3 linked regions of the Mus musculus genome follow. The protein of the gene in region 1 interacts with the protein of each later gene in a pairwise test. Links are inferred from orthologs where the notes say so. Each region holds a gene or a part of one and is shown in the gene's direction. Other genes may lie near its edges. The genes, in order: Vps52, Ppp1r18 and Usp2.

What was found.
Region 2: the proteins of Vps52 (region 1) and Ppp1r18 interact in binary tests that used the Homo sapiens proteins (3 or more experiments, as listed by UniProt). The two-hybrid records come from large-scale screens. The link is inferred for Mus musculus from reciprocal best matches to the Homo sapiens genes VPS52 and PPP1R18.
Region 3: the proteins of Vps52 (region 1) and Usp2 interact in binary tests that used the Homo sapiens proteins (3 or more experiments, as listed by UniProt). The two-hybrid records come from large-scale screens. The link is inferred for Mus musculus from reciprocal best matches to the Homo sapiens genes VPS52 and USP2.

What each region holds. Positions count from the first base shown.
Region 1 is NC_000083.6:33,956,343-33,963,833, forward strand, and holds part of Vps52 (vacuolar protein sorting-associated protein 52 homolog), read left to right. Parts: exon of another isoform or gene 1-342; intron 343-587; coding exon 588-672; intron 673-1,506; coding exon 1,507-1,559; intron 1,560-1,674; coding exon 1,675-1,750; intron 1,751-1,947; coding exon 1,948-2,015; intron 2,016-2,258; coding exon 2,259-2,434; intron 2,435-2,882; coding exon 2,883-3,033; intron 3,034-3,320; exon of another isoform or gene 3,321-3,430; intron 3,431-3,607; exon of another isoform or gene 3,608-3,652; coding exon 3,653-3,753; intron 3,754-3,844; coding exon 3,845-3,977; intron 3,978-4,104; coding exon 4,105-4,162; intron 4,163-4,768; coding exon 4,769-4,902; intron 4,903-5,270; coding exon 5,271-5,426; intron 5,427-5,724; coding exon 5,725-5,843; intron 5,844-6,073; exon of another isoform or gene 6,074-6,080; coding exon 6,081-6,204; coding exon of another isoform or gene 6,205-6,219; intron 6,220-6,383; coding exon 6,384-6,479; intron 6,480-6,567; coding exon 6,568-6,675; intron 6,676-6,835; coding exon 6,836-6,901; intron 6,902-7,491. UniProt on the Homo sapiens protein: Acts as a component of the GARP complex that is involved in retrograde transport from early and late endosomes to the trans-Golgi network (TGN).
Region 2 is NC_000083.6:35,863,666-35,871,256, forward strand, and holds the start of Ppp1r18 (phostensin), read left to right. Parts: upstream 1-2,949; 5' UTR 2,950-3,564; coding exon of another isoform or gene 3,565-3,569; coding exon 3,570-5,120; intron 5,121-7,591. Other genes in the region: Nrm (nurim), read left to right, coding at 447-623, 846-1,127.
Region 3 is NC_000075.6:44,071,366-44,078,856, forward strand, and holds part of Usp2 (ubiquitin carboxyl-terminal hydrolase 2), read left to right. Parts: exon of another isoform or gene 1-932; intron 933-1,876; exon of another isoform or gene 1,877-1,978; intron 1,979-4,000; 5' UTR 4,001-4,041; coding exon 4,042-4,857; intron 4,858-7,491. UniProt on the Homo sapiens protein: Hydrolase that deubiquitinates polyubiquitinated target proteins such as MDM2, MDM4 and CCND1. Isoform 1 and isoform 4 possess both ubiquitin-specific peptidase and isopeptidase activities.

The sequences.
Region 1 (7,491 bases):
CAGTGTCAGCTTCCTGTTCACGATTTTTAGTAGAAAAAAATTTTAGTGTTTAGCGTAAAAGGTTAAGAACGTGGCCTCTGGAACCAATTTGCCCGGGGTCCCACCTCCAGCCCCACCGCTTGAAAGCTATGCTGTGTTTTCGGTGCCAAAACTTCCCACACCTTTACAGTGCAAACGCTGTTAGGACATACCTTATAGGTGGTCGTTAGGATTAGCCGAATGAGCATGTTAAATGGTGTACCAGACACAGGGGTAAACACTATGTAAGCTGGCGATTTTAGCCTCTGGAATTCCCTCAGGGATCACCTGGAATAGCTGGAAACTGAGGTCCTAAATTCAAAGGCAAGTTTGACTAGTCCTAGTTTTTTCTCATTTGAACAACTCCAGCAACTCCATGAATTGCCTGATATTCTCAGTAGCCCAAGATTGTAGATTTGAACGCATCAGAATCTTTGACCCACTTACTCCGGCACCCCCCACCCCCCAAAGCACCCCCCACCTCACTTGGAGGATTAAGGATACCCGATTATGTTTTGTTTCCAACATCTCTTTCTGTATCCCACATTCATTAACCTGTCCCTCTTCAGGGGGGGGGTTCTGGACTCCAAGAACCCCTACAACTTGGAGAGTTGGACATCACCTCTGATGAATTCATCTTGGATGAAGTGGATGGTAAGTGCTGACATGGGGTGGGAGCAAAGTAGACCCCTTTATTCTTTAGAAATATATTACATGACCCCAGTAGATTACCCTCTATGGTTTCTTTCTTTTGTATGTGTGTGTGTTTTTATTTTTAATTTATTTTTATTTTTTTGGTTTTTTTTCGAGACAGGGTTTCTCTGTAGCTTTGGCTGTCCTGGAACTCACTCTGTAGACCAGGCTGGCCTCGGACTCAGAAATCCGCCTGCCTCTGCCTCCCAAGTGCTGGGATTAAAGGCGTGCACCACCACCCCCCGGCTGGCTTTTTTCTTAATGTACAGATAAAGTTTAATCCATGAGTTGAGAAGGCTTAACTTCTAATTTAGGAATAGTAAGAAATGAACAGTACGAGTCGAATAGTCACAGCAATACACTATAATAAAATCGCAGCATCACTTTTTCCCCTTTGGGACTATTGTTGAGTAAGAATACAGCCTGGTTGAACATACATACGCAGACAGCTAAGACTGAGTGACTGGGAGGCAGGCACAGCACACACCATAGATTAACGGAGCAAAGATGTTTCAGATCCAAGCCCAGGCGAGAGGTTCTCTAGCTTCTCAGAATGCCACACATTTTAGATCTTACAAGCCACACTTTGGAAATCCCCTTTTAATATTTTCCATCTGTGGTCGAGTAGACCATGAGGAGCAGAAACAGCAGGAAGTCCCACCGGGCAAAGCAGCTGTGCCTATAACTGGAGAGGGTGGGGGCTGGGAGGGAAGGGGAGATTGGTGTGGTGTGCGTGTGCCCAGTGTGGGCAGAGGGAGGTCTGGCAGGGGACACTAAATATAAGCTTGTTTCCAGTTCACATCCAGGCAAACCTGGAGGATGAGTTAGTGAAGGAAGCTCTCAAAACGGTGAGGCTCTCCACTGGGTTGATCTCCCCACCCTCCCTTCCTTTTGGGGTCCCCTCAGCTTAGTGGCTCCCCTCTAGCCAGTCACGGAGTCTGTACTGGTTGTCCTTCCCCCCAGGGTGTGGATCTTCGACACTATTCAAAGCAGGTGGAGCTGGAGCTGCAGCAGATTGAGCAGAAGTCAATCCGGGACTGTATCCTCCAGCCTCACAGGCACAGGGCCAAGATGGCTGCTATTGGCATGGGCTCTTGGGGGCCTGTGATGCAGGTAGCCCTCAAGGGGATGTCTTCTCTCTCAGGCTTCTGTCACTTTGGGGAGGACCTGGGGGCAGGTACTGCAGATCGGCAGAGCTCTGTGTTCAGTGTGAAGCCCTTGACTTTTGTGGGTCAGATATCCAAGAGAGTGAAAACATAGCGTCTCTGCACAATCAGATCACGGCCTGTGACGCCGTCCTGGAGGTGGGTGGCCCTCACCTGTTGCCCCAAATCTGACTTAATTGCCTCTTCCTCCTCTTCCTCCTCCTCCTCCTCCTCTCCTTCTTCTTCTATCAGTATTTTTTGTCCCCCTTGGACAAGTGATGATCTCCCATCCTCCTGGGTTGCTGGGTACCAGGGATTTGCACAGAGACTTGGTTGACACACCTGTCCTTGTTCCCCGACAACCCGGAGTCATGCCCACAATGTTTCCTGCCCTCCCCACAGCGCATGGAACAGATGCTGGGAGCTTTTCAGAGCGATCTCAGCTCCATCAGCTCTGAGATCCGAACCCTGCAGGAGCAGTCGGGGGCCATGAACATCCGACTTCGTAACCGACAGGCAGTTCGGGGGAAACTTGGGGAACTTGTGGATGGGCTGGTGGTGCCCTCTGCTCTGGTCACGTGAGTCACTGGTTTGAAAGGTAGTAATGTCCAAAGCAGGTGGTTGGGCTGGGTTACCTAAACAATTTACAACATAGGTCTCTAGGCTGGGGTTGTCAGGTACCATCTAGAAACCAGGTGTGCCGGCTCATGCCCGTAATTATATGCTTGGGAGGCTGAGACAGGAGGATTGCTGCAAGTAGACTAGCCTGGGCTATAGAGTGAGATCTTGTAATGGATGGATTAAGAACTTCGAACCCTGCTTTACCCTCCATAGGATAGGACACAGGTTAAGAGTGCTCCAAGGCTACATGAGGAAGTGTGGCTCAGGAGATGAAAACTTTGTACATATTATCTTGAAGGCATGAGACCACAGAGAAAGGCAGAAATGACATGTGAGGTGTGAGGGGGCTCTCTCAGGGCTGTGGGGTACCCCGTCTAACCACACCCATTCTCCCGTGCTCCTCAGAGCAATTCTGGAAGCTCCAGTGACCGAGCCCAGGTTCCTGGAGCAGCTACAGGAGCTGGATGCCAAGGCAGCCGCGGTGAGAGAGCAGGAGGCTATGGGCACCGCTGCCTGTGCTGACGTCAGAGGCGTGCTGGACCGGCTCCGGGTCAAGGTGGGGAGTGGTCTGCTCAGAATCAGCTTTCCAGGAGCTTCACACTGCTTCCCGCTGTGCAGAGCGTGGTTGGCCCTCCAGATCCCCTGAAAATCTAAAGAAGGTTGAGATGTGGCTCAGTTGGCAGAGCGGTTGCTTAGCATGCATGCAGCCCCAGGTTCCATCCCCAGTGCCATATACATTGGCATGATGGCACAAGTCTGTTGTCCTAGCACTTGGGAGGTGAAAGGAGAAACGAGAGTTTGGGGCCAGTACAGATACATGAGACCCTGCCTCAAAACCAAGCAGTGTTCACCTTGGCAGCATAGACACTAAAATTAGAACAATACAGAGAAGATTAGCATGGTCCCTGTGCAAGTAAGAATCATATTTACAAAATGAAACAACCCAGAAAAATAAGGCCGGGTGTGGTGGTGCAGGATTTTAACCCCAGCACTCAGGAGGCAGAGGCAGGCAGACCTCTGTGAGTCCCAGGCCAGCAAGGGCTGCACAGAGAGACCCTGTTTCCATAACCAGAACACAACCGAAGTATTTGTTCCCTTTGCTTTATCTTCACCCCATTCCTGCCGTACAGTGAAAGCCCACCCCGCCTCATGGCCCGTCTGTTCCCCACGCCTAGGCAGTGACGAAGATCCGGGAGTTTATTCTCCAGAAGATCTACTCCTTCAGAAAGCCCATGACCAACTACCAGATCCCCCAGGCGGCCCTGCTGAAGTACAGGTGGGTGCGGGGTGGGCGCGGGGTGGCCTGTGCCCTCTCAACACTGCAGCGTGGGCATCCAGGGAGTCTGACTTGCCCTGGTCCTTCCAAGGTTTTTCTATCAGTTCCTGCTGGGTAATGAGCGTGCTACAGCCAAGGAGATCAGGGATGAGTACGTAGAGACGCTGAGCAAGATCTACCTGTCCTACTACCGATCCTATGTGGGGCGGCTCATGAAAGTGCAGGTGAGCAAGGCTGGAGACATGGAGGAGGATGGGGAGGAGGAGGAGGGGAAGGGGGAGGAGGGGGAGGGATGAAGTCCTCACCTGCTGCTGGTGGAGAGTGATGGTTCAGCTCTGTTATTTTCTCTAGTACGAGGAAGTTGCTGAGAAAGACGACCTAATGGGTGTTGAAGACACAGCAAAGAAAGATATCCTGGAGAGGAGAGCCCCATGAGCTGGGCTCATGGCTGGGACCATGGCGGGGACATCTGGCTCCAGCCTGCAGGCTGTGTTTCGTTTCGTTTCGTTGCTTTGCTTTGCTTTTCTTCCTTTCTTTATTTCTTTTCTTTTCTTTTTTTAAGAAGATTTATTTGCTTTATGTATGTGAGTACACTGTAGCTGTCTTCAGACACAGCAGAAGAGGCCATTAGATCCCATTACAGATGGTTGTGAGCCATCATGTGGTTGCTGGGAATTGAACTCAGGACCTCTGGAAGAGCAGTCAGTGCTCTTAATCCCTGAGCCATCTCTCCAGCCCGGGGCTGTGTTTCTTACCCATTCTGTGGTTCTCAACCTTTGAGGACATGAAATCGAGAGCTTTTTCTCTAAGAAGCACTCGCCGCTCTGACAGATTTTCACATTTATTTCTGAGGGTTTGTAAAACCTTGACAGCCATTAAGGGTGTCAGGCCAAGCAAGGCTCAGGTTCTGGAAAGGGCTATCCGGGCCATATTTAGTTTCCTGGGACTCGGGTCTTGGCTTGTTGGGCCTGGTGCAGTTGGTCTCATTGGTTTCCCTGACTCCAAAGCTGTTCACGCTTCTTCTCGAAGCCGTCCCTCCGAAGCAGGAACACCATCTTTACCCTTGGCACTCGTGGTACTGTCATCTCACCGGCCGAGCTGGAGGCCCCCATCCTAGTGCCCCATACTGCCCAACGTGGAGAGCAGAGGGTATGGTGAGGCAACCCCTCCATGGCCAGGATCAGTTCCCTGAGTGTTAGTTTGGTGTGTGGGGGGGGGCCGGTGTCCCTGGCCTGCTGTGATGCGGGAAGTTAGGAGCCATGGACTCAGAGGCGGGCAGAGGGAGACTGGCTGGGGCGTGACTGTTGGGAGGCAACAGTTGAAGTGAATGTGGGGGTAGAAGTCAGTGGGGAGGGCTTTTCTTGTGACCTGTGCCCCATCTTCAGTGCCTGTTCAGGGTGCTCCTCCCTGCCTGGAGGAGGGTGTGTGATCTTGTGAGCTCTGATTACTAAGCTGTGCTGAGTCTCCACATCCACGGGTTAGTGAGAGACCCATCGTGTCTCTCTCTGTCTCGGTAGTATCCATTCGAAGCGCTCTTCCGCAGCCAGCACTATGCCCTCCTCGACAATTCTTGCCGTGAATATCTTTTCATCTGTGAATTTTTCATCGTGTCTGGCCCGGCTGCACATGACCTGTTCCACGCCGTCATGGGCCGCACGCTCTCCATGACGCTGGTGAGCTCCCAAATTCTGAGCCTGTCCACAGGCAGACAGCAACTCCTGAGGAATGAGTGTTCTCTAAGCCTTGGCCCTGGAGCCCCCATCCCAAGCTCAGCCCCAGCTTCTGCTCAGCCCCAGCTTCTGCTGTGGGGAACTTACATAAGTGTGGCTGTGAGCAGGTCAGGCCGCTTGTGGTACCTGTGGACAGGGAAGAAGCTGGTCTCCCTGGTCTGTGCCTTGTCCCCAAAGAAATGTACATCTGTCTGCCTACAGCCACTCGAACAACAAGCTAACATTCATTTGTCTGCCACAGAAACACCTGGAGTCCTACCTGGCTGACTGCTACGATGCCATTGCTGTTTTTCTCTGTATCCACATTGTTCTCCGGTTCCGCAACATTGCAGCGAAGAGGGACGTCCCTGCCCTGGACAGGTCACTGAGCTCTGGTCCTTGGTGTCTGGATGTGGTCAGCTTCTTATGTTACGAAAACAGTTCCATCCTGACTCTGGGCCCTCACCTGATGCCCTTCACCCTTATTCCCATTCATGTGTCCCAGGGGCAGCATTGGCATCAGGCACACCCACTCACTGTCACCCTGAAGCGTGCTGTACTCCCCTGGGCAGACTGCACCCCCAGCCAGCTGACCTTTGATTCTGATTAAGCCTGCAGGTACTGGGAGCAGGTGCTTGCCTTGCTGTGGCCTCGGTTTGAGCTGATCCTGGAGATGAATGTCCAGAGTGTCCGCAGCACTGACCCCCAGCGCCTTGGGGGACTGGACACTCGGCCCCACTATGTAAGGGCGAGCAAGGTTAATAAGGGGGTCTGTGGTCACACTGAGTGGTGGGTGGGTACTGCCGAAGGAGTCAACTTAGGCAGACAACATCTGTTCTGACTGGTGACAGAACTTGCAGGGGTATCTGAGGGTTGTATCTCCCAGTCAGGCAGGTGTGAGCCTTCCCTTCTTGCTCCCAGATCACACGCCGCTATGCTGAGTTCTCCTCTGCACTTGTCAGCATCAACCAGACGATCCCCAATGAACGCACGCTGCAGCTCCTGGGACAGCTCCAGGTATAGCTAGGCAGGACATATTTGCCAGCAGAGGGACGGGACCTGTGTCCTTGCTTTCTAACCTGCTGCTTTCATTTGGCTTGTGCAGGTGGAGGTGGAGAATTTTGTCCTCCGAGTGGCTGCAGAGTTCTCCTCCAGGAAGGAGCAGCTTGTGTTTCTGATCAACAACTATGACATGATGCTCGGGGTGCTGATGGTAATGCTGCTCCTCCCACGGGGGTCCCTACAGCTTGTGAGCTCTGCCTGAGCTCAGCGCTTTACCCCTGGATGCTGGCAGTGTCCACATCATGGAAAGAAGGGGAAGTGATGGCAACAGTGAAGGTTCCCAAGCTCCTGACTCCTCTTGTCTTCCTTAGGAGCGGGCTGCTGATGACAGCAAAGAGGTGGAAAGTTTCCAGCAGCTGCTCAATGCTCGGACACAGGTAGGGCCTGGGTGCAGCAGGAAGACTGCGATGCTGTTGGACTGACCTCTGTGTGCAGTCATGAGTACAACCCACTGCCTTGTTGCTAGTCTATTTCATTTAACTTTTTCAAGGTACTAATAGTTTAGAAGCAACATAGAACTATACCTATTTATGTATGCATGTGTGTGTACTATAGCTACATGTATGTATGCATGTGTGTGCATGTACTATAGCCCTGTGTGTATGTGTGTGTGTGTGCACTATAGCCCTGTGTGTATGTGTGTGCATGCACTATAGCCCTGTGTGTATGTGTGTGTGCACTATAGCCTTTTGTGTATGTGTGTGCATCCACTATAGCCCTGTGTGTATGTGTGCGCACTATAGCCCTGTATATGTGTGTGTGTGTGTGTGTACTATAGCCCTGTGTATATGTGTGTGTGCACTATAGCCTTGTGTGTATGTGTGTGTGTGCACTATAGCCCTGAGTGTATGTGCACTATAGCCCTGTGTGTATGTGTGTGTGTGCATGCACTATAGCCCTGTGTGTATGTGTGTGTGTGCACTATACCTCTGTGTGTATGTTTGTGTGTGTGTGCATGTATTATAGC
Region 2 (7,591 bases), about 1.9 Mb from region 1:
AACCGAAAGAACATGCAGAGCTCAGCCTCCATCCCTCCTGGGCATATTCTCCTATCAGCAAAGCTGTATATATTTGACATTCCCCAGCACACTAAGAGAGTCTCACCTTTGCAACATTGTTCATGTTTTATTGCTTCAGCTCTGAATTCCTCCCGGGTTCTTATCCTACAACCTCCCTAGGCCTCACAATAGCACTTGTCTTCCAGTTGGTATTCTCATGGATGTTTGGCATAGGCTAGTTGAGTGATTATTATCCACCAGCCCCCATCCCGTCCAGTCTCCAAAAAATCCTGTGTAGGGATGGGCCATCTTCATGTCCTTGGTACCCCTCCCAGAACCCTCCACATGGTAAATATTTACTGTTTATACCTGTCGGAAAGAGTCCTCGTAGGTTATTGTGGGGCAAGGGAGACCACTGGTGTGCCCAGTCTCTCATCTTTCCCCAGTTGGTGATGCGGTACTGGGAGACTACACCCAGAGGCCCAGTGTTATGGGAGGCTCGGGCTGAACCATGGGCCACCTGGGTACCTCTCCTCTGCTTTGTGCTCCACGTTGTTTCCTGGCTCCTCATCTTTAGCATCCTTCTGGTCTTTGACTACGCTGAACTGATGGGCCTCAAGCAGGTGAGAATCCCACACCCCTACGTGAGATCTGCGTCTGCAAGTCTCTCCCTCCTGAACTCTTCTGACTTCTCTCGGCTTTGTAGTGCCTCTGTTTTCCTCCAGCTTGCCTTAAAGGAGAGTGACTGTAGGTCTCCTGGGCTTTGAGGGTGGATGCTGGGAAGAGGACGGAGGCAACTGAGATAGAGGGCTTGACTTTGAGTTCCGTGATGTTCTCTCTTCCAGGTTTATTACCATGTGCTGGGACTGGGCGAGCCCCTGTCCCTGAAGTCTCCTCGGGCTCTGAGACTCTTTTCCCACCTTCGACACCCAGTGTGTGTGGAGCTGCTGACTGTGCTGTGGGTGGTCCCCACCTTGGGCACCGATCGGCTCCTCCTGGCTCTTCTCTTTACCCTCTACCTGGGCTTGGCTCATGGGCTTGACCAGCAAGATCTCCGCTACCTTCGGTCTCAGCTACAAAGAAAACTCCACCTTCTCTCCAGACCTCAGGATGGGGAAGCAGAGTGAGGAGCTAGTTCTAAGCCCTGAATTTACTTCCCACCTCAAAATCAAATCCCTTAGTATCCAGACGGAGTTTGCTTCAGACCGCGGAGGAGGTTGGAAGTCATGCCCTGAAGGGGCTGTGCCCTCTCCTGCTGGAGAACTCAGTTCCTGAATCTTGATCCTGAATTCTTATTCAAAGTTTCCTCCACTGGTCTTCAAGATCCGCCTCTCACCAGCCAAGAATGGTTACAAAACTCATGAGTCTCCTTTTCTCTTAGAGCATGACCTCCACACACACTGGGTCAGTTCACACAGGGGAGCACCTCAGCTCACACTGGGGAGCACTCACTCCCCTGGCACTGTTATTGGCTCTGCACCTCAGGGATTCCCTTCCATGTTTCCACCTCAGGGAGCTATGTCAGGGCCTATCTGAAAGTTTATAAGTAGTGGCTCTTTTGTACCGCGGCTGTGCTTCCTCCCCACTCCTGCCTTAGTTTCTCCTTAGGTCTTTCCCTACAGCTCTGTGTGGTCTCCTAAGGCGACGTCTCCCGATTTTAACTCGGGTTGACTCAGGGCTCCCTGCTCTCCCAAAGGATATGCGCTGCAGAAAAAATAAAATTTTATACATATGATATCCACTTGTCTGTCCATGACTCTCAAGCCGCAGAACCAATTGTGGGAAGGAAGATGAGACCTAGTTTTTGCGGTGATAGCCGAGCACTCTAAAACGATCGCAAGGCTGGGGCCACACCCCATGGACCCGCCCCATCTCTCAGTCGTCCAGTCCTGTTCCCTCCAAATATTAGTTTCTCCGCGTATAAATCAGGGAACCCACGGGAGACAGAATAACTCTCTGGGAGGAGAGCGAACTCCCAAAGCCATTTTGCCTCAGACCCCAGGGCCTGGCAGCCGCCTTCTCTGCCACGGTAACAAAGACTGGCTAGGGAAAGAAAAAGCGTGGGGAGGAGCGGCGAGAGATGGGAAGGGCGGGTCCGACTCCAAGCAGCTGCCGCTTCCTCCCCATGTCCCTCAGGGGGCCTGAGTCACGGGCCGCCGCCCCGGGTCGGCCAGCTGGAGAAGTGGGTCTGGACACCCCGCTTCTTCGGGGCTGCAAGGAAGGAAGCGGGTGAAGGTCTCTGGAGACAGACAACGGAGAGCGAGGGGATAGCCACAGCAAGAGAGAAGTCCCACCAGAGTCCACGCGGGAAGGAGGGCAGCGAAGCCCCGCCCTTCGCCGGGCTCCTCCCTGCGCCCCCTTCCCTCGCCCCATTGTCCGTAGACAAAGCGGTCGCCGCCCCCGCCTGGCCCCCAGTCTGCGTCTCCGTCCCTCCTCTTAGGCTCCCTCTTCCCTCCTCCTCTGTTTCCCTCCCTCCCTCCGGATCTCCCTTCGCCTCTCTCCTCCTCTTCCTCTCTCCCGACGCCTGACTCCACTGCACCTCCTCCTAGGGACCCCGAGGCGTGTAAGTTGACTATGTGGCTCCCACTTTAAGAGAAGTGCCTCCTGGCTCCAGATCTTCCCTGGAGTGTCTCCCCTTTTGCATAGATTGTCCCTTCAGTTCCCTCTGGTGCACAACCCTTTGGGTCAAGGTCCCCTGAGAGCCGGCTCCCTGGTTGGGGAAGACAGCAGAGGCGTGATGTGGGTCCTCGTCGCGCCCGAGTTCTGGAGCGTATCCGGTGGGGAGGCCGGCGAGATTGTAGGGACTGAACGCGGCTGGACGCCAGGGTTCTGGGAATGTACGGGGCTGCACACTTGCTCGGGTACCAAAAGTCCCCAAGGAGGGTATTTCCCCTGACCCGCCTCGGGGGCGGGAAAGACAGTGGGGTAGGGGCCGGACTGAGGGGCGGGGCCGAGCGCAGCCGGGAAGGCAGCCGGGAGCTGCGGGGGCCCCGTGCGAAGAGGCGCCGGCGCCCTTGCCTGTTTCCCGGTCTCCCCTTCTACCCTGGACCTCTGCCCTCTACATCTGTCCTCACCTCCTCACCTCCTGCCCGATCTCCTCGCCCTTCGCCGTCTGGTTCCCTGTTCTTCCCGTTTATCTCCCCCTGCGTACCGGGGGAGGCAGTCTTGACTGAATCCGCTCACTTCTCAGCCCCGGCTCCTCCGGCTCCTCTCTCTCTCCTGCTTTTCCTCTCTCCCCTTTCTTATATCTTAGGGACGGTCTGGTGCCCACAAACCCCAATCTAGCTCTGCCTCTGCCCGGAATCTCGACTCTTCCTCTCCCACTATCCCCACCCCCAACTTGGCACCCAGCTTTTCTCTTCAGTTTTTCAGTTCCTGACTCTTTTGCTGTCCTTCCTTTCACGGCCTTCCTCTATCTTCATTCTTAATTCCACTGTCCCCTCCTGCCCTTCTTCGTCCCTTCCCGCATCACTTCCTCCCCCAACCCCCATTCTCAGTCTCCGGGCTCCTCTGAAGCTTACCCTTCCTGTTCCTGTCCCCCAATACTCTCTCCTTCACTTCCAGTGACCATGACCGCTATCCCAGATTGGAAGCTACAGTTGCTAGCCCGGCGGAGGCAGGAGGAGGCAGCGGTTCGTGGCCGCGAGAAAGCAGAACGGGATCGCTTGTCCCAGATGCCAGCCTGGAAGAGGGGAATCCTGGAACGACGCAGAGCCAAGTTGGGCCTGCCTCCTGGAGAGGGGAGCCCTGTGCCTGGGAATGCTGAGGCTGGACCTCCAGACCCAGATGAATCTGCTGTCCTTTTGGAGGCTATTGGACCAGTACATCAGAATCGATTCATCCAACAGGAGCGACAGCGGCAGCAGCAACAGCAGCAGCAGCAGAGAAACGAGGTGCTTGGTGATAGGAAGGCTGGGCCTCTGGAGGTTCTAGAAAGGAGATCAAGTCCTGGTAATTTAAGAGATCAGAGTCCTAAGGGAAGAGAGTCCAGAGAAGAGAGGCTAAGTCCCCGGGAGTCCAGAGATAGGAGGCTGGTGATAGGGGGAGCCCAAGAGTCAAGTTCGAGGTCTCTTCGAGACTGGAGGCAGAGCCCAGCAGAGGCCAGAGACCTGAGTTCCAGACCAGCAGAGGCTCAGAAATGGAGGCTGAGCCCTGGAGAAACTCCAGAGGAGAGTCTGAGATTAGCGGGTTCTGGAGATGACAGTCCCAAGAGAAAGGAGGTGTTGGAAAGCATTCTGAGCCCTGGGGAGCCTGGTGACCAGAAGGCCAGCCCGACAGATGTCCATAAATGGAATCTTGACTCAAGAGAACCCCAGAAACAGAGCTTGATACAGCTGGAGGCCACAGAGTGGAGGCTGAAGTCCGGTGAAGAGAGGAAAGACTACTTGGAAGGGTGTGGGAGAGAGGAAGAGAAATTGAGTTCAGGGATTGTTCCGGTGACAAAGGAGGTTCAAGACATCACCTCGAGCGAAGTGGAGACTGCTGAGCAGAGACCCACTGAAAGCTGGAAATGGACCCTAAACTCTGGGAAGGCTCGAGAACGGACGACCTGGGACATAGATACACAAACTCAGAAGCCAGATCCTCCAGCATCTTCAGAGAAGCACCCAGGACCTTCTGGTATGGAGGCTGAAGAGGAGGCTGAGAAGGAGGAGGCGGAGGCTCAGAGCAGGCCTCTGAGAGCCCAGCAGAACCTCTGCTCTGGGCCCTCCCCCCTCCCACCAGAGCACTCTGGGACGGAAGGCTCCAGACAGCAGGAAGAGGAAGCGGCAGAACCCCGGCCCCCAACACCAGCCCCTCTGTCTCCCCCACCCTCGGCCCCAACTGCCCCCCAACCCTCTGGGGATCCCCTCATGAGCCGTCTGTTCTATGGGGTGAAACCAGGACCGGGGGTGGGGGCCCCCCGCCGCAGTGGACACACCTTCACTGTCAACCCACGGAGGTGTGCGCCCCCTGCCAGCCCAGCCCCTCCAGTCAACCCTGCTACAGCTGATGCTGCAGGGTCTGGATCTGGGAAGAAGCGGTACCCAACTGCAGAGGAGATCTTGGTGCTGGGGGGCTACCTCCGTCTCAGCCGCAGCTGCCTTGTCAAGGGGTCCCCTGAAAGACATCACAAACAGGTAAGAGAGCTACCATGCCTGACTGGGTAGAAGTCTCTTTCTAGTTCTGACTGGATGGCTTTTTTATATGTGTGTGTTCTTGTCTTCTATTCTTTTTATTCCTGCCGACTCCCTTCCTCCCCCTGCACACACCCTTCCTCTGGGTAGCCTTCCTTTGCCATTCATTTTGGAGCCCCAAGGATTCTGTTCTGCACTCAACTGCTGTGTTGGGGTGTGTCGTTTTCGGGTGTGCCCTGCCTGTTTCTTCTTTCCCCACTCTCTCGGTCCCCTCTCCTTTTCTTCCTCTGGGCTTTTGACCCAGTTAACCCTCTGGTAAGAGAGAAAAGATAACGTACCTGTGAAGGCGTGTGAAAATAACCCAGGGGGACAGAGAAGGTTGACGGAGAAGTTCAGGGAAGTTGGAATGAAGGTCTCAGCCCCAGAAGGAGGAGGGGGTCAAAGCTAATGGAGGACATTCCAGAACAGAGGTGGGGGGTGGGTTGGGGTGATGGAACAGAGCTGGCTGAAGGAAGAAGGAGTTTAGACCCCAAGTCGGCCCCCACTCCTGGCAAGAAGAGGCCATTTGAAGTGGGTGACTTCAGGGTTGCCTACCCCTCCCCCCAAACTGGGCAAATGTTAGACAGTGCTTCCTTCTCTCTAGGGACAAGAAAAGCCTTCTCTTCCAAAATATCCCAGTCCCTTCCCCCATCTTTCCTCCCTGGGCTTCCCCTCCCCCCACAGAACTGTCTCAGCCTCGGGGGTTTTTTCCCCCTCTGTTCCTGCTACCCTGGCCTCTCCCTCCCCTGGGGTAGAAACAGAGAGAAGTTCTTTTGCGCTGAGCTGAGAGCTGCAGAGCTGCGACTGGTTCAGGCACTGTGAGAGTTGGGGGCGGGGTGGGGTGGGGTGGGGCTGAGGCCAGCAGAGGGTCAGAGGTTAGGCTGAAATGCAGACATGCAAGGAAGCACTGGATAGGGTAACTATTCCCTTTGGCTCCGGCCCAGCACCTTCCTGATATGTACCAATAGTTTTCCTAAGTCAAAAAATCTCTGAGGAGAGACAGTGCTACAGTCAGACGCCTCAGACCAGAAGGCCCTCCACACAACACAAATCTTCCCAGGGCCTGGCAAGCCTGTCTCACCCTTCTTTCATGTGTTTGTGTGTGTGTTCAGTGTCAATAGGCCACCATGAGGACCAAAGATCAGGGCTAAGCTCATGAGTCACTTGGTTCCTCCCAGTTCATCTTTTTGTTGTTTTTAATTCATGTACAAAGTGTCCATTTTCATTATCCTATTCTTGAACGTGACTTTTCTTCCCCTGCCTCTGTCTGGGTTATTGGCTCTCTCTTCTCAGGGCTGGGCAGCTAGAAAGGACAGAGGACAGGAAATTCTCTTAGGGTGAGGTGTTCTGAAAAGTCACTTCCTACTGAGGCTGGCTGTGGCTTTGGAGACTGAGCAGAGGGAGACACAAGGCTTTGTGGCTCCTACCTAGGAACCATCTGGGGGAAGCCAAGGAGCCTAGTACAGAGCAGGACCTGTGCTGGTGACCGTACCTAGGTCATCCAGTAGGAGGGGCGGAAGCAGACCTTCCAAACAGGAAGCCTGGGGTGGGGGCCCGGAAGGCTGGTAGCACTGAGTGGGAACACTGGGCCCAGGCCCCGAAAGAACTACTCAGGATGTGGTGAGAGAATCAGGAAGCAGCTACACTGGGGTGGGGGTGGGGGTGGGGAAGAGGCTGCACAGTTCCCTAGACCTGACCATTTACCTCTTCCTCTCTGAGTCTCCATCCTCACCGCTCAGTTCTCTGTCTGTGCAGCCTCAGCAAGGATTACTGTGCCTTGCGCTGGCTCTATTCCAACCCTTACCACCATCCCTCACCTTCCCTAAGTAGTTCCTTTTCTGGCTACTTCTATCAAACCTGCCATCATGACAGACACCACCCCAGTCCTTTGGGGGGGGGGGGTGCTGTAGCTGGTGCTTTTGCCCAGCATCCTCTCTGGCTGGAGACCTTCCCCTCCTTCCCCGGCCCCCTGGTGACCTTATATAGCTGATGAGAGGATCTAGTGAGTCACTTCCCTCTCTGCCCGCCCCTAATTCGGGTTATGCATTCCTAAGAAGCCCAGTCAGAAACTGGGGGGTGGTGAAACAAAGGGGGGGGACGACGACACAGAAGTCTATGGAGTAGGTAAAATGAATTCCTTCACAGAACAGATGATAAACTGCAGAGGCTGGAGAAGGGAGCTTAGGAAGAAAGGAGAATGAACTAGAAATTCGGCTAAGTCTGTCAACAGCAGAACCAGTAAGGGTTCCTTTTCAGATACTGAAGTTTGAGCCATCTGGTGGCCGCCCCTCGCTTCTCTGGGCATTTTCCATAGACTTGGTTCTTTGTTGGTTGTTGGAACCAACCAACCTTAGCTGATGTCCAGACAGACCCTTATCTTATGACATGTGACAACTGTGTATATGAATAGTCGGTACAACGCAGCCTTCTGCACC
Region 3 (7,491 bases), on another chromosome or scaffold:
ACTATTGGGCAGGGGCTCGTACTTACCAGCTGCAGTGCTTGGGACGTGAGACAAGACAAAAACTTTGAGGTCAGCCTAGGCTATAAAGTAAGACTTGTCCAAAAAAAAAAAAAAATCCACTATTTAAATTTCTTGTACTTTTAGAAATACGGATACCTATTTCATTTAAAGCAAACAATATAGCCTTCACACTTATGTTTGTAAGCCTGAGAATGTATGTGTCTGAAGAAGTTCAAGCTTGCATCTGCCCTGAGATTTTTTTTTAGGAATCTACATTTGAGGACACTGCCAGGAAGGGTAGGGAGGATGGAGTGCACACAGGACGAGGCTGTCCGGCAGACAAAGTCAAAAGCTGCATTTAAAGTCCTCAGTGAGTTCTATGTCTGCTCTGTAGGTGTGTGGGACCTGTTGGCTAGGAGCCACAGCTCCATGGCTCCGGTGTCCCCACAGGAAGCCAAGTGCATCTGTGCAAAGCTATGCCACCATTGTCAGTTTCTTAGGGAAACTTTGCAAAATGATGGAGACTCTCGGCAAGAAGAGAGACATCAACATCTCTGTAAAAATGGCATGAAGAAGGGAGCATGGGTAGGAACTACCGCCGTTGTCCAAGGTGGCAGGCACCCGGGGAGGTGCAGCCAGCAGCCACATGCCTGAACTTGCCAGTTCTGGAAAAACAATGAGAGGAGCCAGGCAGCAGGGGCCCCACAGTGGACAGGGAGGAGTGTGGGGGATCCCAGCCAATAGGCTGGCCTCCCACTGCCCCATGAAAGAGCCATTCAGTCCCAGCCGTTCCTGTGGCAACAGGGAGACTCAAAGCCATGTGAGTGCTGCCCTTCCTGTCCCTGTCTTGCGCAGCAAGGCCACAGGCAGATTCCCCAACCGAAGCTCCTGCCCATGGTGCATTCAGTAGCCTCCAGGGACAGCAGGACCAGGTAACGCCAAGAGAATCTAACGTAGTAAACTGTCTTCTCACCTTTGAGGCGCTGAGACTTTTCTCCGACAAAAGTAGGGCTTAGTGGAGGGGAGAGATGTGTGCAAAGTTTCAGCTCCAAAAAAGAAACCTTCTCCTACCCTGGGAGCTGTGAGGTAGACATCAGAGCTGGCAGTTTCCAGGGGCTGGGATCGAGCAACTGGTGGAACTATCTGGACAGGAGAGACTTGGCAGTTGCCTGCCAGATTGGAGCAGACAAGAGAGCAGGGATTGGGGAGTCCTCCTCAGGGTTCTCTGAACTAGAAGATGGGGCTCCAGGGTCAGGCCTTAAAAGTGCCAGTGCTGTCTGTCCCTGTCGCTGTATCTCGTTTGGCCTGGGCACTTGTGCGTCATCCTCTGGGCTGAGAGAGGTCACAGTCTTGAGGCAGTGCCCACAGAATACCAATTCCCTAGGAGCCTCAGTCTGGGAGAAGGGAGGGAGAGCTGGGGAGGAGGAGCCATGAGCTCATATGCTGAGGGTGGGGGCCAATCTGATTGGCTGCCGGGTGTCCCAGAGCCCAGCTCCCAAGGCCTGAAGTTTCTTTGACTTTGCATTATTGATGGAGTTCTCCAAAGTGAAAGAGAACAGGACAGGTCCCCTGCCCCCAGCCCTAGGCCTCTGTTTCCCACCCCCACCTCCCCGTGATTTCCCACTATCCGTACTTCAGACCCTCACACAGTTACCATCTCCCAGAGCAGACTGGAAGTTCCATGGGAGAAGGGGGCAGAGTGGACAAAAAGTGTCCACACAAGGTATTGGGATCCCCTGAGCCAGGCAAGGAAGACAGTCAGATGGACAGCCTTTCTGGTGCCAGCCGGGACTGAAAACTACTGGAGGTCTCTGGCACAGTTAAGGAACTCCGTTCTGTGGCCACCTCCTCACCTTCCACCTCTACCTCTCTCCAGAGCCTTCAGTGGCTTGAGTTTCTACAACCTTCTGCCAAGCTCTCAGCGTTTGGGGCTTGGCACACATCCTCCCTGCCCTGGTGAGCTGGGCTGCTGGCCTAGGTAAGCTGTGGGCTGCATGAGCCAGTGTCTGTTGAATGGCTAGATGTCTACCCACTACCCACTTAACTCACTGGGGGTGGCAGGGGGAAGCCTGGCGCCTGGGCTGAGGTCTAGCCGGCCAGGCCAGGGAATGGCCAGCCCTGCCATTATTATAGATTACAAAGGAGGAGCTGGGCGGCCTGGCTGGGCTGGCTAGGAGAGAAGATAATAGCCGGTCATTGTTAAGCGCTTTCCCGTGTTATTATCTCAGTCCTCACAACAACCCTGCGAGATAGGAATCCTGATGTTATTAGGCAACTTTACAGGGAGGAAATCGGGGCTCAAAGAGGTTCAACGGCTAGTGTAACTGCTCAACTGGTCTGTCTCAGAGAGAGTCAAAACCAGCCCTGGGGCCAGTGAGATGGCTCAGCAAGTAAAATCACTTGCCACCAAACCTAACCTAACCAACAGGCAAACCCCCAAACATGCATGGTGGAAAGATAGAGCTGACTCCTACCAGTTATCCTCTGACTTTCATGTCTGTGTCGTGTGTGTGTGTGTGTGTGTGTGTGTGTGTGTGTGTGTGTGGTGTTCACACACACATGCACACGCACACATGGAGGAGGAGAGAGATTTTTATTTTATTTTTTTAAGATTTATTTTATTTATGAGTACACTGTCATTGTCTTCAGACACACCAGAAGAGGGCATCAGATCCCATTACAGATGCTGTCAGCCACCATGTGGTTGCTGGGAATTGAACTCAGGACCTCTGGAAGAACAGTCAGTGCTCTTAACCGCTTAGCCATCTCTCCAGCCCGAGAGAGATTTTTTAAATCGTATGCTACTCTTGAGATTCCTGGATAGGTCTCCAGACCTCCACCCCACCCTGAGCCCCACCCCACCCCACCCCCACTTAAGAGTCCCTGAAGAAAGGAGCCTGGTCCTCTGTGCCCCTTTCTCCAAAGCACCTTCTCCCCTCTTGCCACATGGTGGAGGGGTTCTAGGAGTCTTCAGAGCTGCCCAACTCTGCTGAGGAATGGTAGAAGCAAGGCTGGTGGGAAAGGGTGCGGGGCCACGACCTGGGTTCCAATCCTGACTCTCCAGAGCAGGTGAACTTGGACAAGCAGGCATCATGCCCGTATCTGTACAATAGGTTAATCAATACATGGCCTTTAGGACTATCCAACCTCCACATTCAGGGATTAATCTACAAAACCCTGAAGTCTGGGAGTGTCTGCAGTCTACAGTACAGGATCTTGACTCTAGGGGGCGCCTCTTGCACAAGTCAAGTAACTCCAGGATCAGTTTGGCCCCTGCGTGGGTCCTGAAACCTCCTAGGAGGCCGTAGGTTCCTAAGCTCCACTGGGAAGACAAAGCCAAACTCCAGGAAGAGAATAGACAGGTTCTACCTCACCAGCGTTCCTGGTGTGGTCCCCTGTGTGACCAAGCAGGTACCTGTGTCCAAGGAAGAGTACCAAGGGAGGTCTGGAGACCAGGGTCCAGCCCTTCTGCTAGACATTCCCTCCCATCTCCCGCCATCACTTCCTTTCCTGAGACCCTCCTCTTCCTCACAGTCTTCCAGACATTTCCGGGGGGTGGAGGGAGCATTTTATACCTGAAGGTAGAACTGCTTGCCAAAGGCAGAGAAGCATTCATAACTCAAAGTGCTCATTGTCCCCCAGTCTATGCACTGAGGGTGGTAGGATCCCCCAGTCTCCAGCCCTTGCCAACTCTAAAAGTTCCTGCCGAGACTTACAAGAAGACCCACATGAGATTCAGCTGGAGTCTCTGATGTAGAGGGCTGGGGAAGTGGAGAGGCTGTGCCTTTTGCTGGTTGTTCTTGTGGGTACATGGGTACACCCACCCATATACATACCTGTTTGCATGTGTGTTTCTCTGGAGCTAGCCAGCCTATTATAGGCAGGCCCCAAGTGGTCCCTGTTGAGCCCTAAGGTCCTGGCCCAGCTGGCATAAAGAATGAGCACAGGATGGGCCTGGTGCTTCGCAGAGCCCTTGACAGCTGCTTTCCTTGTCTTTCAGCCCATGAGGCTCCCAGTACCCACTGAGTACCACCCTGAAGGATGTCCCAGCTCTCCTCCACCCTGAAGCGCTATACAGAATCGTCCCGCTACACAGATGCCCCCTATGCCAAACCGGGCTATGGCACCTACACCCCTTCTTCCTATGGGGCCAACCTGGCCGCCTCCTTCCTGGAGAAGGAAAAACTTGGTTTCAAGCCGGTCTCCCCCACCAGCTTCCTCCCACGGCCCCGCACCTACGGCCCCTCCTCCATTCTGGACTGTGACAGGGGCCGCCCCCTGCTGAGATCTGACATCATTGGGAGTAGTAAGCGGTCAGAGAGCCAGACCCGTGGCAATGAAAGGCCCTCGGGCAGTGGACTCAACGGAGGCAGTGGATTTTCTTATGGAGTTTCCAGCAACTCCCTCAGCTACCTGCCCATGAATGCCAGAGACCAGGGGGTGACCCTGAGCCAGAAGAAATCGAACAGCCAATCAGACCTGGCCCGGGATTTCTCCAGCCTCCGGACTTCAGATGGCTACCGGACTTCAGATGGCTACCGGACCTCAGAGGGCTTTAGGATAGACCCTGGAAACCTGGGTCGCAGCCCCATGCTGGCCCGCACGCGTAAGGAGCTCTGTGCCCTGCAGGGCCTCTACCAAGCAGCCAGCCGTTCTGAGTACCTAACAGACTATCTGGAGAACTATGGTCGAAAGGGCAGTGCACCACAGGTGCTCACGCAAGCCCCTCCTCCCTCCCGAGTCCCTGAAGTCCTCAGTCCCACCTACCGACCAAGTGGCCGTTACACACTGTGGGAGAAGAGCAAGGGCCAGGCCTCTGGGCCCAGCCGCTCCAGTTCTCCAGGGCGAGACACCATGGTGAGTTTACTCTTGGGGATCCAGTGAGGGACTGGGGAGACAGCCCCGTGTTACAAAGAGCCAGGCTAGGAACAGAACTCCCAACCTGACTGACGATTGGTGGCGGACAAGCAGCAGAGATCATCTTCCACGATGATCAAAGCATGACTTGGTGGCTCCATGGCTCAGAGCCATGGGGAAGGGGCTGGCCCGTGCTTCAGAGACCTACACACGTGGGAATGATCCAAAGGTGCTCTAGGAGGTTCAGCCCCCCCTGTCTGCTGTTCTTCTCATTCTCTGATCTCCCATCCAAAATGTCAGGGTCTTCCCCTGTGGGCTCTGGTCCATCCAGGGCTGGATGCCACAGTAGAAGTGTGATCACCATGTTACCTGTGGAGAGAGAGCCATCCTCCCACCCCGATCCCTGCTCTGGATGGTTCTCTTCCTGTCCAGGCATGAGATATTAGGAGTAGCAGGACTCTTCCCCTGATGCCGGCAGCTTAAGTTCAGGGTATCTGGAGAATAGGTTTGTATCTTTGGAGAAAATAGTGTAGAGTCTTTTGTCCAGAGATAGAGATGATCTAATACCTCAGTGCTCCAGCTTGCCTGGGCTGGAATGAGGGGAGAGGCTCTGTTGGAGATTAACCAAGGGCTGGCATGGTCTCCCTCACATCTAATCCCTGAACACGCCTCCCTGGGGCAGTGACTCCTCTCCTCTCCTGTAGTTATCCGTGTGTCCAATAGGTGGCGAGCTCTTGGAGATTTAAAGTGATTGTATCTCTACTCCTTCCCCTGTGCCTCTGGCAACTCGGGGCTCAGCTGACCTGCTGATTGCATGGATGGATGGATGGGTGATTAGACTGGGGTGGGGGTGGGGTGGTGGATTGATGGGCAGAAGAACACATAGGTAGACAAGCGTGTGGGTAAGAGGATTGGATGCTGTGTTCTCTGTTTCCTTATGTACCCCTCCTTATAGAGCATATGTCTTTTGTAAAGGCAAGCAAGCTATGCCATAGCATGAAATAGTGCTTTAGAGAGCTTGTTCAGGACTAGGGATCATAGCTGGGTCATAGGCTAAAGTGTGTCATGACAAAGGGCCTTGGGACAACTTTGATAGTATCACTTGAACTGTTTTGGGCCACCTGGGAAGTACCATGGAAGATACAAAAGCTGTGTCTCACAGGACATTCAGACTCTAGCCATCAGGGTTGGCTACAGGCACAGGACGCTGTAGGGTCCATTCTCGACACGTCCAGAGTTGTTCATAGAGGTGATGGGCAATGAAAAGGCTCCTCTCAGTGGAGGGAGCCTCTGCCGGCTCTTCCTTTGCTCGGAAGAAAGGAAGTCTTCTTGTACACGCATGCTTCTCTGTGGGGTCCGCAGGCATTCGGTGGCAGTAGAATCACCTATGGGCTTAACAGTCCCCCAGACCCTCTGGAGCAAACGCTCTCAGGGCAGTGCCTTAAGATCTGCCTGTTACAGGCTTTTCAGGTTGTCTGGGCCAAAGGCTGCAATACACTCCAGACTCCCAGCAGCTGCTGTTATCTGTCATCTTCCTCACAGCCAGCTACTTACTGCTCTTCCTGAAGTCTGCTGTCCCCTTTCCCTTCATTTCTCCTGGGGACACCTGGCCCTACCCCAGCCCAGGGCCGGAGAGAGTTGTTTTCAGAAAGGATCTCAACGAGGTAGCAAATACCCTGAGCAAACTCAGTCGCCAGAACCTGCATCCCTCTGGCCTAGAAGCAAGGCACAGAACTGTTAGGTGGTCAGGAGTGCCCTAAAGCCAAGCTAGCATTTCATCCTGAGCTCTGCTCAGTACAGTACCACCAACCAGGAGAGACCTCTACGGTCTCACTGCCCCGAGACCATCACTTCACCTTGGCCCTCTTATGCTCGCTTCCAGGGGTTGATTGTATCCTAAGGAAGTGAGAGCAACTTTTTGGGTGCCTTGAAATCTGCCCCATCACAAGCTTCTCCATAAGTTCTGTTCTCCCAGGATGGCTTCTTTAAAAAAAAAAGTGTGGCTTCTTCTCACAGTGCTGTTTTCTAGCTCTGAACTCTGTACCATGCACACCTCTGGGGAACTGAGAACTCTGTGCCATTCACCTGGCTTTCTCGGGCAGTTTCCTTAACTCCTAAGTCTGTTTGCTCTTCTGTAAAATGAAAGCACTCATAGTTTCTACTTCATAAATTACTGTGAAAGAGCCTGACACATAGTAGGGACTCAGTAAAGGTCGGTCATCTTTGCTCCTGGCTTTAGGAGACGAGAGAGGTGCAGGCCAGCCTCTGCCTTGAGTTCACTTCAGGAAATCCATGCCTACTTGGTTACACCAGGAGGCAGGCCTGGGTGTGTGTGTCTTCCGAGGTAGGGAAGGGAGAGGTCACCTGAGGCCGAGACAGACTGCCCGTGACCTCTGAGAGGCACAGTCTTACCTTTTAACCTTGGATACCTATCAGCTCGGACGGATTTCCTCCTCTATAAAGTGAACGATGGCACCTGCCCTGCCCTCCTCACAGGACTGCCACAAGGCTCAAACCAAGTAATGAAGGTGGAGGCATCTCCAGCCAATAAGACAGTAACGGCCAACCTGAGCTTGGAGCTTCACAGGCTCCATTGAGCATGTGTAATGGAGGCACCACCGGCATGAAGTCGGT